5 linked regions of the Ovis aries genome follow. The protein of the gene in region 3 interacts with the protein of the main gene of each other region in a biochemical or structural test. Links are inferred from orthologs where the notes say so. Each region holds a gene or a part of one and is shown on either strand. Other genes may lie near its edges.

Evidence for each region. The genes of interacting proteins can lie anywhere in the genome.
Region 1: of the proteins of PRKN (region 3) and CCNE1, one has a biochemical effect on the other in vitro, tested with the Homo sapiens proteins (2 studies listed by BioGRID). The link is inferred for Ovis aries from reciprocal best matches to the Homo sapiens genes PRKN and CCNE1.
Region 2: of the proteins of PRKN (region 3) and MFN1, one has a biochemical effect on the other in vitro, tested with the Homo sapiens proteins (3 studies listed by BioGRID). The link is inferred for Ovis aries from reciprocal best matches to the Homo sapiens genes PRKN and MFN1.
Region 4: of the proteins of PRKN (region 3) and MFN2, one has a biochemical effect on the other in vitro, tested with the Homo sapiens proteins (2 studies listed by BioGRID). The link is inferred for Ovis aries from reciprocal best matches to the Homo sapiens genes PRKN and MFN2.
Region 5: the proteins of PRKN (region 3) and UBE2V1 form a complex in vitro, tested with the Homo sapiens proteins (4 studies listed by BioGRID). The link is inferred for Ovis aries from reciprocal best matches to the Homo sapiens genes PRKN and UBE2V1.

The regions. Positions count from the first base shown.
Region 1 is NC_056067.1:39,915,271-39,918,770, reverse strand, and holds part of CCNE1 (G1/S-specific cyclin-E1), read right to left. Parts: intron 1,547-3,500; coding exon 1,395-1,546; intron 1,276-1,394; coding exon 1,140-1,275; intron 1-1,139. UniProt on the Homo sapiens protein: Essential for the control of the cell cycle at the G1/S (start) transition.
Region 2 is NC_056054.1:208,514,322-208,517,821, reverse strand, and holds part of MFN1 (mitofusin-1), read left to right. Parts: intron 1-121; coding exon 122-275; intron 276-391; coding exon 392-459; intron 460-3,500. UniProt on the Homo sapiens protein: Mitochondrial outer membrane GTPase that mediates mitochondrial clustering and fusion. Membrane clustering requires GTPase activity. It may involve a major rearrangement of the coiled coil domains.
Region 3 is NC_056061.1:85,935,219-85,939,499, reverse strand, and holds the start of PRKN (E3 ubiquitin-protein ligase parkin), read left to right. Parts: upstream 1-1,481; 5' UTR 1,482-1,582; coding exon 1,583-1,589; intron 1,590-4,281. Other genes in the region: PACRG (parkin coregulated gene protein), read right to left, coding at 842-997. UniProt on the Homo sapiens protein: Functions within a multiprotein E3 ubiquitin ligase complex, catalyzing the covalent attachment of ubiquitin moieties onto substrate proteins. Substrates include SYT11 and VDAC1.
Region 4 is NC_056065.1:40,951,640-40,955,139, forward strand, and holds part of MFN2 (mitofusin-2), read right to left. Parts: intron 3,371-3,500; coding exon 3,246-3,370; intron 2,311-3,245; coding exon 2,202-2,310; intron 2,090-2,201; coding exon 1,982-2,089; intron 659-1,981; coding exon 505-658; intron 336-504; coding exon 268-335; intron 126-267; coding exon 4-125; intron 1-3. UniProt on the Homo sapiens protein: Mitochondrial outer membrane GTPase that mediates mitochondrial clustering and fusion. Mitochondria are highly dynamic organelles, and their morphology is determined by the equilibrium between mitochondrial fusion and fission events.
Region 5 is NC_056066.1:78,133,583-78,136,339, reverse strand, and holds part of UBE2V1 (ubiquitin-conjugating enzyme E2 variant 1), read left to right. Parts: intron 1-1,937; coding exon 1,938-2,063; intron 2,064-2,757. UniProt on the Homo sapiens protein: Has no ubiquitin ligase activity on its own. The UBE2V1-UBE2N heterodimer catalyzes the synthesis of non-canonical poly-ubiquitin chains that are linked through Lys-63.

The sequences.
Region 1 (3,500 bases), on a different chromosome or scaffold from region 3:
ATAGAAAACATTACAATGAGAAAATCAAGTTAAGTGACTTGCCTGACTGAGGCACAAAGATGTTAGGTGGCAGCAGATTTGACTCTAGGATAAGCACAACTAGGGAACAAATACCCCTGTCAATACAAACTTTCTGAAGGGTACACGGCAGTTTGTTTTCAGGGAATACATAGCCACTCAGCTTCCATATATACTTTCATAAAATGGATCTGCCTAAGATACCCTTCCACTCACGGAAGAAAGCTCATTTTGCACCCACCCAAGGTATGTTTGTTAGTCACTCAGTTGTGTCTGACTCTGCAACCCCAGGGACTGTAGCCCGCTAGGCTCCTCTGTCCATGGGATTGTCTAGGCGAGAACACTGGAGTGGATTCCCATTACCTTTTCCAGGGGATCTTCCTGACCCAAGGATCAAACCTGGATCTCCTGCAATGCAGAAGGATTCTCTACCATCTGAGCCACAAGGGAAGTGGTATCCAAGAAATGTCCCTTAATCAAGCCACTATTGAGACACCCACACTTCCTCCTAGAAAGAGGTGCACTGCCTATACATCATAACTTCTTGTATCTAACAATTATTTACTATAACTTATATCTTGTTATTTGATAAATTTTTGTATGATAATGTGAAGTACGATAGTGTGATCAATAGAAGACTTGAACAATATATTTTGTTAGGATCAACTTCTGTGGGGAAAGAGAAATGGGTCCCAAGGAGTTAAAATGAAACAATGTAAAATTTCTGACTGTTAAAGATAAATTTGTTCATATATTTTTAAAACATTTGGTAGTAAGCTATCAAATAGCTGTTACACATTCTATTGTGTACACGTAAGCAATTTAATTAACAAAGATCAAATACCAATATTTATAATTAATTGGAAAATACAACCTTTGCAACTATTTAAACTTTGAGAAAAAACTTCAGATGCCAACTTAAAAACATCTAAGGGATAAACAGACTTCAGAAATTCTTTTAAGGAAGTACATAAGCAAAAAAGTTAAACCACTGTAGTGTATATACCACAGTTCAGAGACACACAATGTGTCAATGGAATCAAACACGTGAAGAGATGACAACATCACAAAAAAATCTAGAAACGGTCAATGCTTCTAGTTAACCAGAAGGCCCAACCTACCTCCATTAACCAATCCAGAAGAATTGCTCGCATTTTAGGCTGCAGAAGAGGGTGCCGTTGCATAAGATGCTTGTCCCTCAAGTATGTCTTCTCCTTGTTTAACATGATTTTCCATACTTCCTCTCTATTTGCCCAGCTACAAAAAAACAAAACCAAGCAAAACACAAAAGACAGGCATCAGTATGCATCCAGCTAGCGAAGTGGAAGTGCACACAGGGAGTAAGAGACCCAGGAGGCACTCGGTGGTCAGCTTACTTCAGTACAGGCAGTGGCGACGCTCTGGATGACGATGGCGTGCACCTCTGAGGCTTGTACGCAGCGTGTGGGTACAGAAGTTCATCCTCTTCTTTGTCAGGTGTGGGAATCAGGGAGCAGGGGTTTTCACAGGCTGTATTACTGTCCCAAGGCTGTAAAATAAAGACATGTTAAAAAAAGTTTGATGCAAACCAGCTGTTTTTACATTCATTGATTTGTAAAACAGCCAGTAAAACAAAAAAACAAAATGTCTTTACACACCTAGAGCAATCTCTAGGCCTAAATCAATATTCCAGCCTAAATTAAGATGGAGATAGCATGGAAGACACAGTAATGACTCCAAGCTTTCATTTTCTCAGGAGTCTATGCAGTAAGTACCTAAGAAAACTAGTCAGTAGCATTTTATTCTCCATATCATCATCCTCATATGAGGTGTGTGAGGGCACAGGAAGGGTAAGACAAAATGCAAACAGCTCTTATGTTACCGAAAAAGAAAATCTACTCGCAGTTCAGTAAGACACTAAGCATGGCTCCAAAAGGGTATTGGGAGATTTGGTCACAATTCAAAGACTTGGGATTTTTAACAAGTACAACTAACCTAATAAAATGTCTTAAAAGTGAAAGACAGAGTTTCCAATAAAAGTATTTACATAAGCACTCCACAACCACAAGTATAAAACTGATTCCCATCTATATTTAGTTTCCTCATTTAATAAAAACCCACCAAATGTGACATCTTCCTTTGGTTGCAGGTCAAGCCAAATATATTACATAATGAGGACCTTTCGTTTTCCTTAATTCAAATGGAAAAAAAACAAAGGAGTATCTGCCTACTTAAAACCACATCAAGCAACAGTCACAGGATTTACTAAGAAGTCTATAGAGATAAAGCCTAGATATTCCTGAAGACCTTTGAAACCCACCCCCAAAGTCTTATATAGTAATAAATGCTAAACCATCATTAAAAACCCAAACAATGGTTCTTTTAAAAAGTCCAGATATTTAATTCAATTTTTAATATTTGGAAAATGTCATTTTGCCATTTAAAGCTTTTTCTTTGTAAAGCTACTGTTTATCATCTTACTCGAAACAACTATGATTGTTTTTTAAAATTATAATGAACTTATTGAAGATATGGCACGTTAACAATCCTGCCAGCACGGACGCTCTGTTAAAGGTCTGAGACTCAGCAATTTTTTTTAAAGCAGAGAGATCATCAGTGTTGACTGGAAAAGAGACAACCAAGAGGACTGTAAATGAACATGGAAACTTGGGCTCTCCAAGTGCTGCTTGGAAGACATGGGACGGGGTGGCTATCACGGCACACTGGCCACTTTCAGAGGAAGCCAGAGCACTTTCAAGGTACTGAGAAGAGCAGAGTAGGATAAAGCTCTCCTCCATCCAATGTGCAAAGAATTGGGCATGCAAATTAACCATGACAGATCTTGCCAACAGCTGTTGGAGAAGGGCAACATCCTCTTCCAGTTCTAGTATCATGTGCTGGTATCATTTCCTTGACTCAAAAGGATCATGTTACAACTGCTTTAAGTCGTATTCATTCAAGAATGAATTCTAGTTTTGAAAGCAGAAGCTGGGTGTCACCCTCTACAGCCAGATGGCTGAAATAGTTGAGAGAAGACTTTTGGAGATAAAATGTTAACAGTTCCCAACCTGCAGTACACAGACAAATCAGGTGAACCACAAGCAGACAAATGGTCCCCAAAGTTGGCCTTTGACCAGTGTATGAAGCAGAATAATGAAGTCTATATTCTTTAACTTGAATGTATACCATGTCTCAAAGAAAGTGAGATCAATCTGACTTTAGGAAGGAAAGGGATAATAGCAAGAGACCAGTTTGATTATTTCTAACCACCTCTGACTCTTTGTACCTCTTTTAATGGAGAATGAAACCACCTTATGCAAAATTATGTTCTGAGAAGTAACTAATAGAAATTCTAGGACTCCATTTCAATAAACAAGTTGGGTCTCATGCGAAAAATTGAACAAAATGGATATGTTAAATAGACTTTAGACAAAAGAGCATTATTTTCATTGGGAAAAACCCAAGGTAAGAATCAAAGGTTCCATGTGGTCTTGATGTAGCAG
Region 2 (3,500 bases), on a different chromosome or scaffold from region 3:
AAACCATGTCCATTGTGTCGTGATGCCATCCTTAATATCACTATAAATGGAGTTAGTATAGGCCTGTAACTCATATTTGTTTAGTTATTAGAATTCTTTTAATACCCTCTTTTTTTGCTAGGTACGCAGACAGCACATGGAAAGATGCCTGCATTTTTTGGTGGAGGAGCTCAGAGTTGTGGATCCTTTAGAAGCACGCAATCGTATCTTTTTTGTTTCTGCAAAGGAAGTTCTTAGTGCTAGAAAGCAGAAAGCACAGGGGATGCCAGAAGGTGGTATGTATTCATTATAGATTTCCTTTTGAAATATAAATATAGATTATAAAAGTAGCATGCAAATATCTTATCTTGTTATATACCAGGTTTTAAACCTCTTCACCTAAATATTACAGGTGGGGCACTTGCAGAAGGTTTTCAGGCAAGATTACAAGAGTTTCAGAATTTTGAACAGATCTTTGAGGTAGGAGTTTTGTGAATGTATTGACTAATATAAAACTAGCATTGGTTGGAAAGTGAGCATAATCTTCTGTTTTCATTACCTGTCCTTGTTAATAACCTTTGGTGTTATTTAGTGTAGTTTCTGACAGAGCAAGTGAAGCAAGGAAAGTTTGAAGAAAGAAGGTCCCTGCGAAATGGATGATCTGTAAGAATGGAGAATTAAAGATTGTAATTTCTTATTCTTTTTTAAAAAATGTATTTGTATCTAAATGAGACATATTTTCTAATATTGTGTTATGTGATGAATATAATACTCTATATTCAGTAGTTAGGGACAAGATTAAAGAAATATAATTGCTGTTGGAATGGGTAATAGAGCAAAATGAAGATCTCTTTTCTTTTGATAGAACATAGTTAACACCACTTGACAAAAGTTAATTACATTTCTCAACTGTATTGCCACCTGTTAATTCTCCACGTTTTATGCCAAATGTGCTGAACAAAACAAACGGATGCAAGAATAATTAAGATACAGGTCCTATACTTCAGGGGAATCTAAGCTACTGAGGTGCAGGGATATCTAATGTGTGTGCCAGTGGAGAGAGACGATCCTGTTATATTTTGGGATAGGTGTTTTATTCAGAGACCTTGAAACATCCTAGATTGACTGAAAAATACTTCAGCTGTTAATCTTCTTGGCTCTAATTTAGCTCTGTCTAGTTGTATTTATTAGATTACATATCTCCTCACCCCCAGATGAACACAAATACTCAGAACTGAAAAAACTTCCATCTATAATTCTTCCTTATAAGTAGTAACTATTATAATAGTACTAAGGACATAAATATTGAATGTACTTGGCAGAATTTTTTAAATTAATCATTTGCTCACTATCCCCTACTTTTAATTTGGTGAGAAGAAAAAAGACCATTAGGTAGACAAATACAAAATGTTTAAGACAGCATACTCTCTGTTCCCTTGGTAAGGTGTTTCTGATTCTTCAGAGGTCCTTGGAATATCAATAGGTGTTTTGTCAAGTTAAGCTGTAGGATACATGATATCCCAGTTAATTAAAGATCATTTTTATATTCTTGCCCTTTTCTTGCATAAGAGATTTAATCCTCTACCCACTGTTATCAGGAACAGTCATTTCATCCATGGGAAAAATATTGGAGAGAGTATCTTTTGTTGTTTCCCTCATCTTTTCTTATTTATTGAGCTTTTCTTTCTTTGTCTGTATGTGTTTATCTTTGATTTCTCCTACCAAATCATGTACTGTTCAGTTATACACTCATACCTCTTTCATATTGGTTCCTGGTACAGCTTTTGCTTTCCCAGAATATCTCCTTGAAGAGGTGGGAATGAGAAGAATAAAAGATGTGCTGTAGAGCACTGGTCCCCAAACCTGGCTGGTGATGAGAAACACACGAGGTACTTTAGAGACCTGCAGGCTCCTGACCTATCCCAGAGACTTAATCCAGTAGGGCTAGGACGGACCTAGGAATCTCTTAAATGTTTAAAGCTCCCCAAGTGATTGCAGTAATCAGGAAGAGTTGGGAACTGTTCTTTCTAATGTTTTTAGAAGAAACTTGATATTTCACTTTTTTATTTTACAAGTTCTTTTGAGAATCTAAAAATTATGTTTGGAAAAAACTATTTATGAGCAATAGCTTTTCCATGAAGCTGTAGAGAATGTTAGGCTTTAGAGTTTGAAATTTTTGTTTAAAGCTATGATAGATATAAAATGAGAATTAGCTAAAAGTGATTTGAATTTACCTAAAGAAATAGTCATATGGGCAAACAATTTTGTCTTGATGCCCAAACCTTTTTTTGGTAATTACATTGACAGCTCTTTTCAACTGTTGGCCAAAGCTCAAGTTTGTTACCTTTAAAATTAATTTTGATAATTTATGATTTCTTATAAATTGATACATTTCTGAGAATTTATAATTTAGTATAAAATTGTTTATTTAAAAATTTCTGTATTCCTTTTCTATATTTGTCTATATACCTATATATAGATATATCATTAGATAAAGTATATAAGAAATATATATATTTTAATCTTAATTGAGATTTGTCAATGATTTTATTGCTTTGCTGTATCCTCTAAAGATTAATTGAATAATTTATCAGTTTCTAAATAGCATTTTTTGGTTGTTAGTCATTCAGTTCAACTAATGTTTACAGAAAGTTTTTTTCTGCTATGATTATAAAAGTGGAATGAATTTGTCTGTGAGTGTAGCTTTGGATGTCTTCCATGGCTTTCAGTATCCAGATTTCGTTGTTGATTAATTTTTAATTATAGTTTTTGGCATTTCCTACTCAATACAGGAGTTATTAAAATTCAGGTATTTTGATTCTTCCCATATGACTTTTCTTGATTTTTTTTTTTAACGTTATGATGACAAGATGTGGCCTTAAATGCCCATTTCCTGTTTTCAGAATTGACTTCTGTTTGTGTGTGTGTAGTCTTACAATTTTTGTGAAAAGAAAAACTGTACCAAGTTCATCATTTTATCAAACAATCTGATCTTTACCATAGAACTCTTGAGATTCATTTGATTTAGAAGAAGCTAAAAGGTATATGGTATCTTGGTGTTCTTTCTTCCACTTCTGTCAGTTTAAAATATTTCCAAGTAACACGTTTGGAGTGGTAAATAGCATGTTACTGGGTATTTGGGGTCTTTTATCAAGAAGACTTGACAAATTTGTTTTATGTTTTAATTACACATAAATATTAATACTTATAAATTTGTAACTACATATGACTAGTTGTAAGCTATTTTCTTTGGATGTAAGTAGAAAATCAGAAGATCTTAACTGAAATGTGATTATTGTTTTGCTTCTAATTTAATAAGTTTTCAAGCAGCCTCTGGCATATTCTGATAAGATGGAATTTAAATCATCTGGTGTAGTATTTTAAACTTCACCTTATGAAAGCAGAGTTCCTGATGAAATAAGTGTGGGTACTATTTGCAGGCTATATGTGACCTCCATGGAGATTCATAAGTACGTTAGTGTATACAGGACTCTGAGAAATGGTTCAGTAAAGAAGCTTTA
Region 3 (4,281 bases):
CAAATTTGAAAGCTGCATTTATTATTGAATATATCATTCTCAGCCAGGTGCTTAGTCAGTAGGAAAACCTGGTGTAGCACACATTTAAAGCTTTTTTTTTAAAACTGTTATGCATATACTGAAACCTGCCATGTGCAGTTTAAACTTTTCCCCCCTAATACTATTGAGAATAATGGATTTTTACTACCACAAAACAATAGAAATGAAATATGAATTGTATTAATAGTCAGAAGTATTTGCATCAAATCTTGGAAATTTTAAAATTAAAAGTTTAAAAGGTCTATTTGGAAACAGACTTCTTATTAAGTTGCTTCTCAGTACTCTAACATGCCTTTTCGTGAGAATCTTATTAGAAAAAATGCTAGGATATTCTTATAATATCTAGGTTGAATTGATAAAATTTCTTACTGTTAATGAGTTTGGGTTCCCAGCTGTACATCAGAAATGTTAAATTTTGCAAGGGAGTTCATGATTTCCAAGCCTTCTCCTTCTATTAAGGCGCTTTTCTGAGTGGGGCTAGTTTAGGAATCAATAAGTAAAGGGGATCTTTCTTTGTGTATATAGCTGAAGCATAGATTCAGGTGGTCTAGAAACCCTGAGTTATTAGGAAGGTGCTTAGAAACGAGCACAGTACATCAGTTGCCCGAGACTCCTTCTTAACATCCCAGCCTGGACCTCCACACTCTGTTGGGCACCGTCTGCCACTGGCCGAATAAATTGCCATTTTGGGCGAAGACCACCCAGGACATGGGCTCAGAATCCATCCTAGGGCCAGCCAATCTCTGCAACCTGGGGTCCCCTGACTGGGAGCGAGTGCATTCGATTCGGGAAGATCACTTACGACTGAGTTTTTCATCATGGCTTTGACTGTGAAGCCCTCAGAAACCAGGGAGTGAGGCTGGTGCACCGGGAGCGGCTGCTGTGCCAGGAGCTTGGTCTTCGTCGGCAGCTTGGCTGGGCATTTGTTTAAGCTCAGGGTCTCTTTTTCTGCCACCATCTTCCTAGAAAATGTCTTGTTCTCATACAACGTGTAGTAAAAGAGTCAGTGAGATTTATGGATGTGAGGAGGAGGTCGGGGGGAAAAAATGGAAAAAGGCGCGTTAATGGTAGAAATTCAACCCCTTCGTAGCAGTGGTCGATCCAGATGTTTGGCAGCTCCTAGGTGCTGGGAGTTGAGGGGAAGGGAGGGGCGGGAAGAGGGCAGGGCCGAGGCCAGAGCTGCCACAAGCTTCCAAAGGTAACCCTCCCGGTTGCTAAGCGACGCGTCAACACTGAGGCCGGATGGCCCCGCCTCCCGGTGACGTATACGTTTCCTGGGCCTCAGGCCGGAAGGGCGGGCGGCGGGCGGCGACTGACCCGAGGCGGTACTTAACGAGTGAAAACTACGACTCCCAGAAGGCCGCGGGCGGCACGCCGTTCGCGCGTGCGCGTTTCGAGGGCCGGGCGCCGGGAGGAGGGGGAGGGGGAGGGGCGTCCCGGACGATTTAACCCCGGAGCGCCGCTCGTGTGAGGCGCAGGCGGGCGCCCGGGTGCGAGTGGGACCCTGCTCGCCTGGCGGGCCGCGTCCGCCTGCCCAGTGGCCATGATAGGTACGTGGGTACCTGCCAGGTACAGCGTCTCTGCGCCGCCCCTCTCGGCGGGGACCCCCCCCACCCCGGGTGCCCGCTGTCAGTGGCGGGTGGCGGTGTCCGCGCTCCCCTCAGCCCGCGCCGCCGGCTCCCCGAGAAGACGTGTGTGTCTCTGTCCCAAGCCCCGCCCGCGCCCGCCTTGCCAGGCTTCTTCCCGGAGACGCCTTCGCCAGGGGGGCCCAGCGCGGGCGTCCGTGGGGAAGCCCCTCTTCCCGCCGCCCGCTCGAGCGCGGGGGTCCGTAGGGAACCCCCTCTTCCCGCGCCAACTCGGGGCGCCTTGGGGGGCTGTCTTCCCGCTGAGGACGGGGCGGGGGGACCCACACTGTCCGGGGAGCTCTTGAAGGGAAACCTTAGCGAAGCGCTAAACTCTTGATAGACCGGTGCCTGGTGATGGTGCTTGAGGTCAAAAGAAATTCCCGCAGGTGGATTTGAACTTCTTACACTCTTGGATTTTTGTCTTCTAGATAATCTCTTTGGAGGTCTGAGATGAAAGAATAATTAATAGTGAATGATAGTAAGGATTAAAACTTCCAGCATGATGAATTTACGATTCATTATGCAACAACCTTTTTTAAAATATATATATATATAAATCTTTATATATACATGTATATATATACACACACACACAGAATGACCTAGCTGCATTTTTGTGAATAAAGCTTTGGAAGTGGCTGTTAGAATTGCTTGTAATCACTGTAGTAAAGAAGACTGGAAAAGTCCCCCTTTTCCAGGATTGTTAAGCCAAAAATTAGTTTATCTCTGAAAATTAGTGGAAATATACGATGTGATTACAAAACATTGCTCCTTGGGGAGTTTATTATGACAGATTTCCTCTAGACTGTGTGTTAATTGGTTTGGTGAGGTTTTTTTTTTTGGGGGGGGCGAGTTATTCTTGACTGGGTGCCGCTTAAAGCACTTTTGATTGCCTCAGGTGCGTGTGAATGTAGTTTATCCAAGAAGATGGAAGGTGATTTTTAAAAGTAAGTTTCTACATACTGATAAACTCTTCTTACATCAGTTATTTATTAGACTAATGTTAAAATCTGAAACGTTCTATCCAACACTAGGAGGAATATGCCAGCTAACCGACACTGCAACAATGTAAAACCTGAGGATGTTGTCCAGTTTTTCCTACTTTTCTAACATGATGTGGTTTCTGATGAATGGGTTATCTAATTAAGAAAAATATATAAGGTTTTGTGAATATTTTGACCTTTTTTAGGTGACAGTTACACGAGATTCATTTTCTAACGCAAATCTAAACTGAATCAGAAAAATATGAAAATTTCCAAAATTCATGCTGTCCATATTTTACAGGGAAAAAATAGTCTACACCTTGTCTTGAAGACAGTTGTACAGATTTTATTGTAATTGAACATAATCTGATACATGGATAATTCTAAAAGAAATAAATTTACAGTAAAGCTATTTAGGGGCTTCCCCAGTGATACTAGTGGTAAAGAACCTGACTCTGTGCAGGAGATATAAGAGACGCAGGTTCTGTCCCTGGATCGGGAAGATCCCCTGGAGGAGGGCATGGAAACCCACTCCAGTATTCATGCCTGGAGAATCCCATGGACAAAGAAGCCTGGTGGGCTACAGGCCATATGGTCGCAAAGAGTTGGATATGACTGAAGCAACCTAGCACGCTCACACGCAAAGCTATGTAAAGGCAAGAATTTAAGATCTAAAAGTCATCAGTTAATTCTGAATTATTCTCTAAGATGATTATATAAATAATGTTGTTAGAATGAACTATGTTTAGGTGGTTTAGTTTGGGATTTAGGGACACAGGAAGGAAGAGTATTATCTTTAGATCTGATGATTAGACATTTCTTAATCACTGGTAGTGCCATGGAGAATATAAGGTGGTATTTTAAAAGTGTTGTTTCTCATACTCCAGCTATTGTTTTACACGCTGCAAATAAGTATAACATAAATAATTAAATCCATGTACTCTCCTGAGAAAAATACTTCACATGTTAAAGCCATGTGGATAATATACAATAAATTATTCTGTACAGCTACTCAACTAGTTGCATTGCCTAATTCTGTCAGTGGGTATATTGTAATAAAAATCTTAATTGCCAATTTTGGGCTTGGTTATGTTGAATAATGCCAAAGGTAAGTGAAAGTGGGAGCAATTGAAGGAAGGTCTTGGAGTGATGAGTTTCCCATTTCTGATAAAACTTTGGAGCCAGGAAAGGCATTATAGTCTATATCCAGTGATATACGGAAGATTAAACATATTCACTAATATATATATGGGGATGATTTTATTTTTTGTTTACCGACATGTGTGCTACTCAGGTGGCGCCAGTGGTAAGCAACCTGCCTGCCAGTGCGGGAGACATGAGAGATGCGGGTTCCATCCCCGGGTCAGGAAGAATCCCTGGAGGAGGAAATGGGGGTCCGTGGGGGACCCCCACAGCAATTGATTTCCTCACTACCAATAAAATTATCTTCCTTTACCTTCTCAAAACTCACGATTCTTTCTTGTCACAGAGACTGTTTCAAAAGTACTACATGTCCCAGTTAGATTAATATGTTAAATGCCCTGACTCAGCTACAGAAACAACTTAAGTAGGTGAAAAATTATTATTTTTTGAGAAATATGGAGAGGACTGTAAATAAACCAGAATAAAAAGCT
Region 4 (3,500 bases), on a different chromosome or scaffold from region 3:
TACCGCTGCTCCTGCGCTGCAATGTGCAGAGAGTCCATGATGAGGCGGACGGCCTCAGCGATCTGCTTGGCCCGGACCGTGTGCTGCTCAAACTTGGTCTTCACGGCCGACTGGGAGATGCACTCCTGGAACAGACAAGAGGTGCCAAGGGAGGCAGAAGCCACCAGCCAAGAGCCAGGCTCTGGCATTCAACTGCCAGGGACGTGGCCAGGGAGCGCCAAGGAGGCACAGGATCTCCAGACAACAGGATCAAAGGCTCATGCTCACCTCAAATCTCCTCTCAAAATTCTGAAACTCAAACATCCTCACTTGAAAGCCTTCTGCAAGAGCGCCCCCTAGGAGAAGTGCACCACATTAGTCCAGAGAGAACTCAGGCAGCCAACAGCTTCTCACCCAGGGTTCCTCTCACCACCTCATTCTCACAGCGATTTCTACCGGCTGACTTAGCACAAGACCCAATGTCTCAAGCGTCAGGGAAAAGCAAGAAGCTGGTTCCATCATCACCTCCTTCGGGCATGCCCTGGGCCTTCTGGATCCTGGCGTTGAGCACCTCCTTGGCGGACACGAAAAAGATGCGGTCTCCAGCCTGGCCCCGATCCACCACGCCCAGCTCGTCCACCAGGAAGCTGGTGCAGCGCTCCATGTGCTGCCGCCGCACCTGGAGCCCAAGCACACAGGTATTATATGACCAGGTGGGGCGCGAGGGGGCCCTCCTGAGGGAGCCCATGGCCCCTGGTGGCCTCTTTTCTAAGAGTACAGGTAATCTAGTCACACGGCTCAGGATTCAGAAGGTATCAACACACATGCAGTGATCATTTCCCACCATCTGTCCGCCAGCCACCGGGCCCCCCAAATCCCAAGTCACAGGGTTCCTTGGGGTGCAGCCTGTCCAAGACACCTGAGGCATCAACAAGCAGAAATGTTTACACATGTCCCAGACTGCCTTGTTAAGAGCCTACAAAAGTCTCCCTTTGGTGCCCCAGAAGGAAAGGAAGCTGGGGGTCAAGAAACCCACACCTGTGAGGGGGCAGGGAGGAAGGCTCAAGAGGAGTTGATATATGTATGATAATGGCTGACTTTGTTGTTGTACAGCAGAAACCAATACAACATTGTAAAACAATTTTCCCCCAATTTGAAATATGTTAAAAAAACAAAACGAAACACAGAAACCCACACCTGGACTCTGTACTGACAAGCTGAGTCCTCCCTGGCCTTGTTCATTGAATGAGAGGGTGCCACCCAAAAATCCCTCCTCTGAAGCCCTAGGGCTCCACTGCTGGAACTTCAAAGTGATAACAGCCTCCGGTGGACACCTTCCACATGCCAGGCCTTTACTCAAGGTGAACAGATCTCATCTTCTGCACAACTCCATCTATTACACCCAGCCCACAGGTTAGGATTTACCTGGGTTAGTTAGGGTATGTTAGGGAGTTTATCAGTCACACTGCCCAGCATCTGCTGACTACACACTTGATCATCATCCCATAGCACCTGTGACTCCTTTTTCTTTCATGTTACCCATAAAAAGTAAAGCATTCTGAGCTGTAAGAACCAGTTATTCTTTGCTCTTCTTTTAAGCTTCTTTCCTGGATGCCTTTCAAAGCTACGCCTCTGACTCATTCTTTAAGAACTAAGGAGAGCCCTGGTCCCAAGGAAGGGCTCGGCCAATGTGGTGTGGAGGCCTCTCAGCACAGAGAAAAGCCTTCTGAAGATTAGAGGGGAAGGGGATACACATATACTACAGCTGATCCACTCTGCTGTACAACAGAAACTAACAAAACACTGTAAAACAGTTACACTTCAAAAAAAAAAACGAGGAGAGGGGTTCGGGGAAGTGAATGGGAGAAGTGAATCGGTCCCACAATGACCCCGAATACCTCATGGGACAACTTTAGTGATGAAATTCATTACTAATTTAAGAGAGTCTAGGCAGACGTACAGGGTGGCATTCCCCAAGATGCTGAGTAAAAGAGGCGCCCACCTCCTCCATGTACTCAGGCTCCGAGGCAGACGCATCCCAGCGGTTGTTCAGGATGAAGATGTTTGGGCGGGACAGGCGCTCGCTCACCTTGTGGAAGAATTGCTTTTCCTGGATGAGGGGAAAGACCTCAGTGAAGGACGGGCTGTGCCAGCCATGGCCCTGCTGGCCCACCCGCTTGGCTGGATCTTGGGAGTGTGGGGAAAGGCAGAGGATCGGTTACCGTCTGCATCAGGGTGGACTCCGAGTTGGCCACCAGCACGAACACGTCGGCGTCCAGGCAAAACTTGTCAATCCAGCTGTCCAGTTCTGTGGTGACGTCAATGCCAGGGCTGGAGGTGACAGGGGTAAACCATCATCAGACCCGGGGCCCTATTCTTCCTGCTCTGAACAGACCTGAGGCAGCAGGCAAAGGAAGAGAAAGCTACAGAGGAGAGGGAAATCGCCCTTACTGGAGGGATTCTGATTTTTCAGCTCACATCCTTCCAGACTCTCTGAAAATGTGTTTTCTGTCATATGCATCTATCACTCATGAAAACCTAGACATCTGAATTTGACTTTGTGCATGCACGTGTGCATGCTACGTCGCTTCAGTTGTGTCCGACTCTTTGTGACGCTATGGACTAACTGTAGCCTGCCAGGCTCCTCTGTCCATGGGATTCTCTAGGTAAGAATACTGGAGTAGGTTGCCAGGCCCTCCTCCAGGCGATCTTCCCAACCCAGGGGTCAAACCTGCATCTCCTACACTGGCAGGCAGGTTCTTTACCCATAGGAAGCCCCTGCATTTCACTTTGCTGGTATACAATTAAGGTGAAGTGCTACATTTATCTGAGTCCAGCAAGCACCCTCATACCAAATTTCTTGGTATAGTTATAGCCTGTCCACAAAGCAGGAGCAAAGTGTTGCCTTGAGAAAAATAAAACACAACAGGGACCTCATCAAGAACAAGCTCCACCCCCTCCTCCAATAAACATACTAACATTGGGTTGAGGCCGAGAACCTTCCCCAGTTTCAAGCATCCTTCCTATCCCTCTTCACAGACCATCACTGGGAGATCTTTGGGGCCCTGATGCCTGCCAAGATGATACAATAACCAGACCCTGAAGGAAATCCACGAGGCTGGAAGATGTGGCTAAGCTGGTTTAAAAACTAATATACTTCAGCAGAGCAACAACATGACCTTGGGGACACTGGCCTGGAGGACCCAGAAATGGAAACCTGGGGCCCTCCCCGTCTGCACCTCCTAGGGAGGCACCTGCCCTCTTACCTGTCCATCAGCACCAGGTCATCCTTGAGAAGCGGGCACTTGGAGTTGGGCCACATCACACTCACCAGGCTGCCGGCATGCAGCTGTTCGTCCTGGTGAAGGGCATGCGCCAGCTGGTTCACCGTCTGATGGGGGTGGAGGCAGAAGATAATCAGGGTCAAGGAAGAGCCTCCAGGCTGGAGACCAGTGCAGCCTAGCCCCAGGACAGTGGCCTGGCTCGCAGGCCAATCTGCTACCCCTCTTTCATTTCATGCA
Region 5 (2,757 bases), on a different chromosome or scaffold from region 3:
TAAATGGAGTATCATCTGCAAAAATACTGAGTCACTGTTGTATACCAGGAACTAATACTGTCAACTGTATTGCAATATAAATAGATAAATAAGCAAACATTCATTGTATACTACTTCCAGATTTACAGAAAAGTTGCAATGTTCATTCATTCAATAAACAGATGAGTACCAGTTCGGTTGAGGCCCCTGCCCGCCTTGTTCCGAGATTAGTGAGGGGTGTCTGGCGGGTGACTGGGCGTCAGTCTTCAAATGAGGGGTCCCGAGAACTCTGAGGGGAAGATGCATGGGAGCTGAGCTGCGAGGCTCAGAGCAGCAGCTGGTATGAGCACCCCAAGGAGAGGACTCAGTGTGTCTGAAGAGTGTGACGAGGAGGCCGGAGGGGCGGGATGAGGAAGGAGAAGCAACGGAGAGGAGGGCAGGGCCGCATGGGGTCCAGTCCAGGAACCGGGCCCCCCTTTCTCGGGTCTCCAGGAAGCCACTGGAGGGGTGAGGCCACAGGCACAGTTTCCAGGGCTGTCTGGGGAGCAGGTGCTAGGGGCGCGAGAGAAGGCAGAGGCCTGGGGTCATCTGGAGGAGGCGCACAGTAGAGGAAGGTTGGGTGAGTGTGCATCCCTTCTGATGCCTGGGATGAGGAGTGAGGGAAAAGGGAGTCATGGCTGGCTGCCAGTTTGCTCTAACTGCCGGATGGTGCTCCTGCTTACCAGGGAAGAAGGCAGGTGGGGGGAAATCCTGAGTTGAGCTTTTGTTACAGCTTGGGGTCCCTGTGAAGTGGATGTGGTATGGGACTATTATGCATTCTGGATCTTAAAATATATGTTCCAGTTTTTAAGCTAGGGACAGGCCACTATTTTAGACGGAATGTTTTCAAGCCTTTTAATCATCCTTCTTAATGTGCTCCCCCCAAAGGCCGCTAGATGTCACTGTTCACACGGCCGTTTCTTGTGCAGCACGGGGTGCAGAGGGCACAGGGCGCGGGTGAGGGCCCCGGAGGAGGCCGGTCTCCCTGCAAAGGGGGCCAGTCTGACCGGGAGGTGTCAGCCGCGGTTTGGTGTGGTCTTCAGATACGCAGATGATGATAACGCAGCTTCACGTGAGAAAACCGTGCACAGCCTTCTGATTAACATGCTGCTTGAACTGGGTCTCGAAGGCTATGAGGTGGTCCGAGTGGGGGTTCAGCACTTTAGGCAGAAGGAACCGCCTGGAGAAGGCGGCGCACTCCACTGCTCACCGGGCAGAAGTGACAAGGGAGCCATCCCCGGGCATGAGGCGGGACTCGGTGTTTCTTAGTGGAGGCTCGGTTGGCGCTCGGAGAAGGACCGTTTCTCCTGGGCAGGTCTGGCGTCCTCGGCCCCCTCCCCCCACACACCTCCTCGATGCCGGGTGGTCCTAAAGGCAGCAGGGACGGAGTGCCTGTGGCTGAGATCCCTTCCCAGAGCGCGGCCCCGGTGGTGAGGAGTGGAAGGCAACCCTGTGTCTGTGCCCACCCTGATCTTGTGCTTGAGTTCAAAGTCCTCTAGAGTTGCTTGTTCTTTACTCTGTACATGATGGTATCTAGTGCCTTGGCTGATGATCCCAGCATGAGTAGACATCAGTGTGACTTCCCAGAATGAAGGATGCCTCTTACACGTCATTTTCCAGAGTGTAGACAAATGAACAGAAAAGCCAAGTCCATCTGATTGGGCCTAATGATGCCACCCTAAGACTTCAGTGACACTGGCTTAAATTTCCTGGCTTCTTTATATTCCCCCAAAGCCAGGATGCATAGGCGCTGGTGCAGGGACTGATTACGACTAACTTAGCAAACAGCGAGTAGACTCTGAATGGTGGCAGCAGACACACCAGCTCTGCATGGGGAATAAATGGGGTTTCAGAAGTTGTGCAGTTTTTTAATTCTTTGTAATTGCCTGACATGGCTATGCCTTCTATTTTTTTTCCAGACAATTTATGAAAACCGAATATACAGCCTTAAAATAGAATGTGGACCTAAATACCCAGAAGCACCCCCCTTTGTAAGATTTGTAACAAAAATTAATATGAATGGAGTTAATAGTTCTAATGGAGTGGTAAGTTGTTTCTGCTGCCCCTCCTTGTCCCCTGGGGGTCCCCCAGATTCTTTGTGCTCGAATGTCAGGGGCACTTGGGGCCTGATTGCATTTGTTCCTTGGTTACTGGATGATGACATGTACCGCAGGACACACACGTGCTGTTTTGGAGGGAGGGCCTGTTTCCCAGTTGTGTTTCAGCACAACTTGTATGGCGTTGGCTCTGGGCTGTTATCACTCAGCCTGTGCCGGTCACTTTGAGAGGAGCGCTCCTTCAGCCTTCCTGCTACACCCCCAAGAGGTAGAGGCAAGGAAATGGAGGCAGAGAGGGAAAAGACCGCCCCAACGCCACGCTTCTCCCCACGGGCCTTATTTCTGCACCATGGACATATAATACTTTCTCCTTGTAATGGCCTTGCTTTCTTATTTTTGCCACTGTTTTCACTGCCGTGAATGGAGACCAGTCTCATCTGCCGTAAGCAGGTGCTGGTGGTGACACCACAGTAAACGCTGTAAAAGCAGAGCAGGGGCAGCCGACGGCCCCGTGCCGCGCGCCAAAGGCGCTCGAGCCTCTGAGGCCCACCTGATGTCCTAAACCCAGGAGAAGTTCCTGCTTGGAGGCGTTTCTCCAGGGGGGCACTGCACTGACTTGAGGGGGGTGGCTCGGACAGGCTCTGGTCTGCTGTTGCCTCACTCTCCCTACTGCCCTGAGCGG